2 linked regions of the Rhinolophus ferrumequinum genome follow. The protein of the gene in region 2 interacts with the protein of the main gene of each other region in a pairwise test. Links are inferred from orthologs where the notes say so. Each region holds a gene or a part of one and is shown on either strand. Other genes may lie near its edges.

Region 1 (3,744 bases), on a different chromosome or scaffold from region 2:
AGGGAAGAACTGATTGTATTATACGCGAAACACAGCTCTTTCCCCCAAAAGGGGGTGTGGGTGAGAGCAGCAGGACAGTGGCAGGCCATGCGGTGTGGTCAGCACTGTGAATGGGGCCAACCACGGCCCTCACAGGCGTGGACCCTGCGGCCAGGCGGTCCCCCCAGGCACACCTCTCCCTCTGAGGTCCCCAGGCGCCCCAACACCCTCCCCACACGTCTCGCTCAGTCCACACCCTGCGTGAGCACAGCAAGGGCCACTGAGAAAAGCAGACTTGGGAGCAAGGGCCTCGTATGACACAACAAGCCATTTGCCAATTTTAAACTGCACAAGAAGAACACTTCACCTCTGAATTTTGACAACGCAACACTTTTCTACAGCACATCGCCAAAGCTGCCTGGCTTCTGCCTGAGCCAACATAGGGGCTTTGGTGTAGGGCTCCAGGGTGGCGGGATAGGGAGAAAGGGAAGAGCACTGCGTACGCAGAACGACATTTTCTGATCATACACACCTCTGTTATCTGGGCATTTTTCTCCGTTTCTGATTGTAACTTCTCCTTCAGCTCAGCTGCAAGAAAAACAGTCACTCAGATCACCGCGTCTCAGACTTTTCCACAATCTCCTCCCCCAGGAGATGAGAGGGTTCCCAACGCCCACTGCCACTCAACAAAAGCACCCGCCAGCATCAATGGGACAACAGGACACACCTGTGAGGGAGCAAGAGCATGACGATGTCTGCTTTAATTAACAAACTGTATTCCTGGCCAAACCAAGGCCAGCGGGCCTCCCAGCCAGCATGACAGGCCAGTGAGCTCGGGGGCTGCACAGGTCACTGAGGACGCTGAGGCCGCCTCTTCCTGGTGGGACCCCAGCCTGTCCGCTTCACATGGGGCCAGGTTCCAGATGAGGAGTCGGAGCACAAGTAAGCCAAGGCAGGGAGAGATGTTCTAGGGTGCAACAACCCCCAGCCCCCAGGGAGGCCGCACAAGGGCAGAGGCCCAGGGGTTGTGGGTGGAGGAGCAGGACGCTGCTGGCCTGGGGTGCAGGCGGCAGATGTGGCCTGAGAGGGGGGTGTACACCTGGCAATCAGGGTGCCAGGCGGACATGGCTGGAGCCTCAGGAAAGGCCAGGGTGGAGCTGGGGAGAGGTGGCACCAGGCGGCAGCTGGTGCCACGCATGCAGTGAGGGCAGCCTGAGCAAGTCCCGACTTAAGGCCAAGGGCCACTTGCCACCCTCTGAGGACAAACCCCACCCCGGCCGAGCCTCACGGAGCAGAGGGCAGGTGTGGGCCTCGTGGACTCATTCTCAGGTGTACCTGGAGGAGACAGCATCGGAAGGGGCCTGAGGCACACCATGTTTTGTATTTTAAAAAATAAACAAAATCAGGGGTGTAAAACGACATTATTTCCGTTTGTTTGAACCCACATGAGGACACATGGGACGGCACGAGGACCTGAGATGTGCTCTCCAGTGGGGGTGGGCCCACAGGTAAGGAGCAGGGCTTCTCACACTGCCAGAGCCCGCCTGGGGCCCTCACAGCTCAAAGGAGAACCCCAGCAGGTAGATAAGCAGGTACTCGTGCCAGCAGAAAAGCGGGGGGCTGCTAACGGGCACAGGCTGCCTTTCGGGGTGATGAGCGCTCTGAACTAGACAATGTGATGTCAGCACAAGTCTGTGACACACAGAAGGCCACTCAAGTGTGCACTGTAAACAGGTGTACCACTGCTTGGTGACGCTAGGCTTTAGAAACCCAGTGTTTACAAAAATTAGTGAGCACTTTAACAAAAAATGTACCAGACACGTTAAAATGAAAACATGAAATACATCTTAGACGTACAGAGCTTGGGGTTGGCCAGAGAATCAGGGGACAGGAGTGCCGTGGGGTGCAGGGTAAGGAGCCTGTGAGACGTGGGGTTGTGTCCATGAGCATCCAGGTAGGCCAGACACGGTCCCACCAAAGGTGCAGAGACAGAAACCTGCAGCACGAGAGCAAACTACCTCCAACAACATCATTTCAAAGTTAACACAAACCCACTGGACAAATGGATGAAAGGCGAGGGGACAGCAGAGAAGGATAAGGACATGCGGAGCCTGCCAGCCAGGAGGCCCAGGGGCCAGTGCCCAGAGCAGGCGCCCCGTGGAACGCACCACGCAGCTTCGGGTGGGAACGCCTCGCCCGGGGCACCTCTGCAGGCCACCTGCTCCCCCATGTGTTTCCAACGGCGGCCAGCAGGCATGTACCTGTCTCCTGGTGGTAGCGCCGTGCCAGCTCCTCCAGCTGCAGCTGCTGCCTGCTGTGCAGCAGGGCCAGCTCCTGGGCGTGCCGGCCGTTGAGCATGTCCCGCAGCTCGGTCAGCGCGCTGTCCTTCTCCCGCTGCAGATGCGCCTGTGCCAGCTCCAGCCGTGCCACGTGCATGTTGCTCAGGCTCAGGCGCAGCGCCTCCAGCTCCAGGGCGGCCGCTGGCTGTGGGGACATGGCGAGCTGAGGCGGCTTCCCGTCCCACAGCACGGACACATATGGAGTGGGATGAGCAGCGGCTAGGGAACAGGCTGGCCGTGCAGGGAGGGTCCCTGGCACCTGGCCTGAACTGTGGTCAACAGGTGTCCACAATGTCCCTCCCTCTCAAAGTCCCAACACGAGACATGAAAACAAAACCAAGCAGGAAAGCAGACACAGCCAGCCTGCCCTGCACACCCGTCCACTCTGTGACAAACCTCTCCCACCTGCCACCCCCAGATCCCAAACCCACGGGCCCAGGTAAGAATCGTGAGCACCCGGGTCACCTGGGCTGGCAGCTGCCCCTGCTGCTCCTCTGCTGTAGGCGGACGCCCCCCCATTGTCCACCACTGCCCACCAGCCTCGTCCTCAGCTTGGCCCATCGACTCAGCACCTGCAGACGCACAGGCCCGTTCACACTCCTAAGGAAGGAAGGCAAGACACGTGACCCAGAGAATTCAGCCCCTGAACATAATGACCACATGTCCTCCCAGAGGTGCGTCCATGAGTGTTCACTCAGCACTACTCCCAGTCGCCAAAGGTGGGAGAAACCCAAGTGTCCGCCGGCGGGTGAGCAGAAAGCAAGAGGGGTGCCCGCACACAATGGGGTGTCATGACCTTCTGACCCACTACAACACCGAAGAACTGCAAAACACACTCAGTGAGAGAAGCCAGACACACTGACAGCTCCATCTGCATGAACCGTCCGGAACAGGTGAGTCCACAGACAGAACGCAGACTGGTGGCCGCCAGAATTTAGTGACTGCCAATGCAGACAGTTTCCTTTCGGAATGATGCACACAAACGTCTTAGATTTAGCGGTAACGGATGCACAAACTCTTGACTGTCCTAAAGCCACTTAAGTGTACAGTGAGAAGTGCTGCATTCTGTTCTGTGAATTATGTCCCAATAAAACAACTACAGAAGAATATGAGGCCTGTTTGAGGGGCTCAGTGTCAAGTCGGAAGCCAGACGCAGGCCAGCTGAGCCTGTCTGCCCTCCAGTCACTGCAACAGAATATAGGACACTGGGACTGATTGCAAGCCAACCCCTGCCCCCGCACACTCTGGGTATGAGGCCACCACACACAGCGGGCTCTGTCACTCCCGGGGAAGGTCAGGGCAAGACAGCTGTGCTCAGGGCGTGGAAGATGACCTTCTCTCCTCACTGTCCAGGACAACAGGTCACAGGGAGGGCCACCCTGGGCTCACTCAGAGGGTATGGAAAGAGAGAGCCCTTCCACGCAGG
Region 2 (3,744 bases):
TGTTATTCATAAATAACAAAAAATGGAAAGCAACCCAAATGTCCATCAACTGGTGAATAAATAAACAAAGTGTTCTATGCAATATTACTCAGCCATAAAAAGGAATGACATTAATATATGTAGCAACATGGACGAATCTCAAAAACATAAGAGAAACAAGTAAACACAAGACTACGTACTGTACAACTTCATTTATATGGAACTCTAGAAAAGGCAGAATTATAATAACAGAAACCAGATTCGCGGTTGCTTGGGTTGGGATAGGGGAAAGAGATGGACTGCAAGTGAGCGTTTTAGGGCGCAGGAATCTTCTGTCTTGATTGTGGTGGTGGTAACATAATTGTATATAATTACCAAAATGCACCAGCCTGCACACTTAAAATGGGTGAATTTTATTGTAGGTCAATAATAATTAAGTATAAATTTTAAGTAAAAAAACTCCACACCTAGATACATCATGGGTAGGCTTACGCAAACCAACAGTGAAAAGAAAAGTCTTCAAGGCAGCCAGATACACAACAGACAGAACAAAAATAACTACAGCTGTCTTCCCTTTAGAAACTCTGTAATCCAGAAGGGAATGGAGTAAAATCTTTAAAGTACCGAATGAAAGAAAACGACCAGAATTCTATAGTTGTTGACACGATCTTTCAAATGTGAAGGTGCAATATAGACTTTCAGACAAACAAAAGGTGAGGGCATTCATTGCCAGCTGACCTGTGCTAAAAGATTCAATAAAGGACGGTCTTCAGACAGGAGCCTGACACCAGATGGAAATTTCGATCTACACTAGCAATGAAGAGCATTGAAAATGGTGGGGGGGAGAAAAAGTAAATAGAAGCTATAAAGGTATGCATTAGAAGAACTAGGAACAGACCACACGCTTCCAGATTGCTAGAAGGCTTTCTGCAGTGCACCTGTGCGGGGTGGATGGAACACAGGTGGGACGGAAGCACAGACAACCTGGCACAACGAGCGCTGGCGCCACCGTTTGGCTCTCACCTCCCTGGGAGTTAGGGAGGCTGGCACACGCTGACCCTACTTTACAGGAACAGAAACGGTATCTCAGAGAAGACGAGTTCCTGCTGTACTTCACCAGGAAGCCGCATTAAGTAACAGGATTGGGCGTTTTCTATTCCGTGTTGTTTGAGTTAACTTGGTCCCCTTGGAATCTGTGAAACAGGCAGCACAAGTCTTGGAAGTGGCGTCGCTGTGAACCAGCCCTGGCGGTCCCCTCTAACACGCGGCGAGCACCTTCCTGCTCCCCGAGGCCGTTGGGAGGGTCCAGGGAGAGGACGCCACCAGCCCACTCGCAGCGAGGCAGTGGGCAGGGCAGACCCCCGCCCAGCGTGCGCGCGCAGCAGGCGGGCAGGGGGCGGAGCGCCGCGGCGCGTCCGTTGCTAAGGCCGCGCCGCCCTGGCGACCGAGCGCTCGCGGCCCCGCGCACGCGCCCTGACCGACTCCGGTGCACTGTGGGATGGAAACCCGAACGGCGCGTCTGGGCAGGAGCAGGCGGCGGCGGCGGGGCCGGAGCGGCGGGAGAGCGGGGCTTGGACTCGGCGGGCCGGCGGGAGCGCGGGCGGCGCCGCCATGAACGCGGCGGTGGTGAAGCGGACGCAGGAGGCTCTGGGGAAGGTGATTCGGAGGCCGCCGCTGACGGAGAAGCTGCTGAGCAAGCCCCCGTTCCGCTACCTGCACGACATCATCACGGAGGTGGGTGCGGCTCCCGGGTCGGGGCTCGGGTGCGGGGAGCGGGTCGGGACCGAGGGCGCGGGCGGGGTCAGGGTCGGGGCCGGAGTGAGGGCCAGGGGTCAGGGCCCAGGTGGGAGTCGGGGCCCAGGTGCGGGTCGCGGATGAGGGTTGTGGTGCGAGCCGGTATCAGGGCCCAGATGGGGGTCCCGGCCCTGGTGCGGGTCGAGGTCGGGGCCCAGGTGTGGGCTGGGGCCCGAATCAGGGCTAGCGTCAAGGTCGGGCCTCACGTAGCTGTGCGCAGCTCCTGCCCGGGAGCCTGCCTGGCCTGCGGCCCAAGGGGTGACCGTGGGCCCAAGTCGGTGATGCCTCTGCGAGGTGTTCATCACCCTCACCCCTGCTCTTCCTTCTCATCCATCCCTGCACCTCCTTTTCTGGGGAGTCTCCCGGCCCCTCTCAGGGAGCATTATATCTTTCCAGCCTACCTGTGTATCTGTTAGAGCACATACTCTGTTCTGCCTGCCAGAGCTGTTTTGTGGTTCTTTTCCTTCAGTGCCTAGCACGCCCCCTCCCCTCCAGGTTTTCCTCCGCAGGGCTCTGCACACTGGTCACCACATATTGGATGTTTAATGGACACCTGTGGTTGTAGGGGAACCGGAAAGGGAAACTATAGAAGAGCAGGTTAGTATCTGCTGATAAACGGCACAGCCTGCCTTCAGTTGAGATTGGTTGTTGACTTTTCCCCAGTGGAAGGTGAATTCCTCAATGACGGGGACCGTAACTGTTTTGTTGGCATGTCCCGGGTGGCACTGGGTACGGTACACAGAAGGGGCACAACAAACAGTCACTGTTGAGTGGAATCTGTCAAGGCTTCTGGCTCAGGGAGGCGGTGCCGGTTCCTATGGTGCATCTCAGGTGGGTATTGAACTTGGAAACTAGGGTGTACTCCTTGGGAGTTAGGAATCAGGCTGAGCTTGGAGACTGCCGGGGCTCCTGATCTCTCTCCACGGTGGTCCTCGAGCTTCATTTCTCACTCTTTCCAATAGGCTGGACACTTTACTCTTCCACAAACTTTGCTTTACTCATTTCTGTGATCTTAACTTAGTTTCTAATGTGTGCCTCTGTGTTAAAAACCCCAATTGTGCTGAAAACTTTCTGGAATCCCACCCACATCCCAAGGGCTGTCTGGCCTGGCCTCTTCCTCCTGCAGCTAGTCCCCAGCACTTCCAGCTGCTCTGGACAGTGTCTGCGGAAGGGACGTGGCTGTGTGGGGAGCCCAGTGGGTGCTGGGCCGCGTGCTGCGTCACCTCTGCCCTGTGCGGTAGGCAGGTAGCGTGCTCTAACCCAGGAGGGAACAGGTAGTCACCAGGACATGGGCCTGGCTGAGCACAGCGGCTGCCGCCACGGCCTCATGCTCTCATCTTCTGTGTTGGTCCTGTGAGCCCACTGAAAAGCGAGTCAGGAAGGGAGTGGGGGGACATGCCTCATCCTGTGGGACTTGGTGTGCTCTGGGCAGACATATTCGAATGCATTTTCAGATAATAGGTGGAGAGCCTTGTATGAAAATTCTTTACTGCCCCGGAGGGTTGTATTCAAGCCACCATCTTAGTATTTTAGCTACAGCTAAACCAACTTTGCCTCTTTCATGAATCAAAGCACTGGTCTTGTGACATCAGTATCTCTTGTCACTTAAAATTATTGCTGACAGTTTTAACTGCCAACGAACTGGGAAAACCTTGAAAGAAACAAGGGAAAAGTTGCCAGGAATATAAAGTGTAGGCTACTCTTAATATTCCACCTGTCTTCTCAGGAAAAATAGTAGCATAGCTCTTAATTAATTAAAAATAGTAGCCCAGCTCTTAGGTAGTTTGATGAGGAATGAAAGCTAGCTCAGTTCATAGCTTGCTGTAGCTTCGTCTCAGAGAAGCCTGCTATTAGCATGCGACTGTCCTCGTTTTTAAACACGGCTGGCAGTGATACATATGCTTTGTATCCACCCAGGACACACACATATACAGGTGTACTCATCCTTGCTACACACACTGCAGTCTGACT

What was found. The genes of interacting proteins can lie anywhere in the genome.
Region 1: the proteins of TRAF3IP1 (region 2) and PCNT interact in a two-hybrid assay, tested with the Homo sapiens proteins (2 studies listed by BioGRID and IntAct). The link is inferred for Rhinolophus ferrumequinum from reciprocal best matches to the Homo sapiens genes TRAF3IP1 and PCNT.

What each region holds. Positions count from the first base shown.
Region 1 is NC_046285.1:109,018,254-109,021,997, reverse strand, and holds the start of PCNT (pericentrin), read right to left. Parts: upstream 2,616-3,744; 5' UTR 2,588-2,615; coding exon of another isoform or gene 2,538-2,587; 5' UTR 2,476-2,537; coding exon 2,241-2,475; intron 568-2,240; coding exon 512-567; intron 1-511. Other genes in the region: pericentrin, read right to left, coding at 2,538-2,587, 2,750-2,918. UniProt on the Homo sapiens protein: Integral component of the filamentous matrix of the centrosome involved in the initial establishment of organized microtubule arrays in both mitosis and meiosis. Plays a role, together with DISC1, in the microtubule network formation.
Region 2 is NC_046291.1:2,182,160-2,185,903, reverse strand, and holds the start of TRAF3IP1 (TRAF3-interacting protein 1), read left to right. Parts: upstream 1-1,486; 5' UTR 1,487-1,590; coding exon 1,591-1,713; intron 1,714-3,744.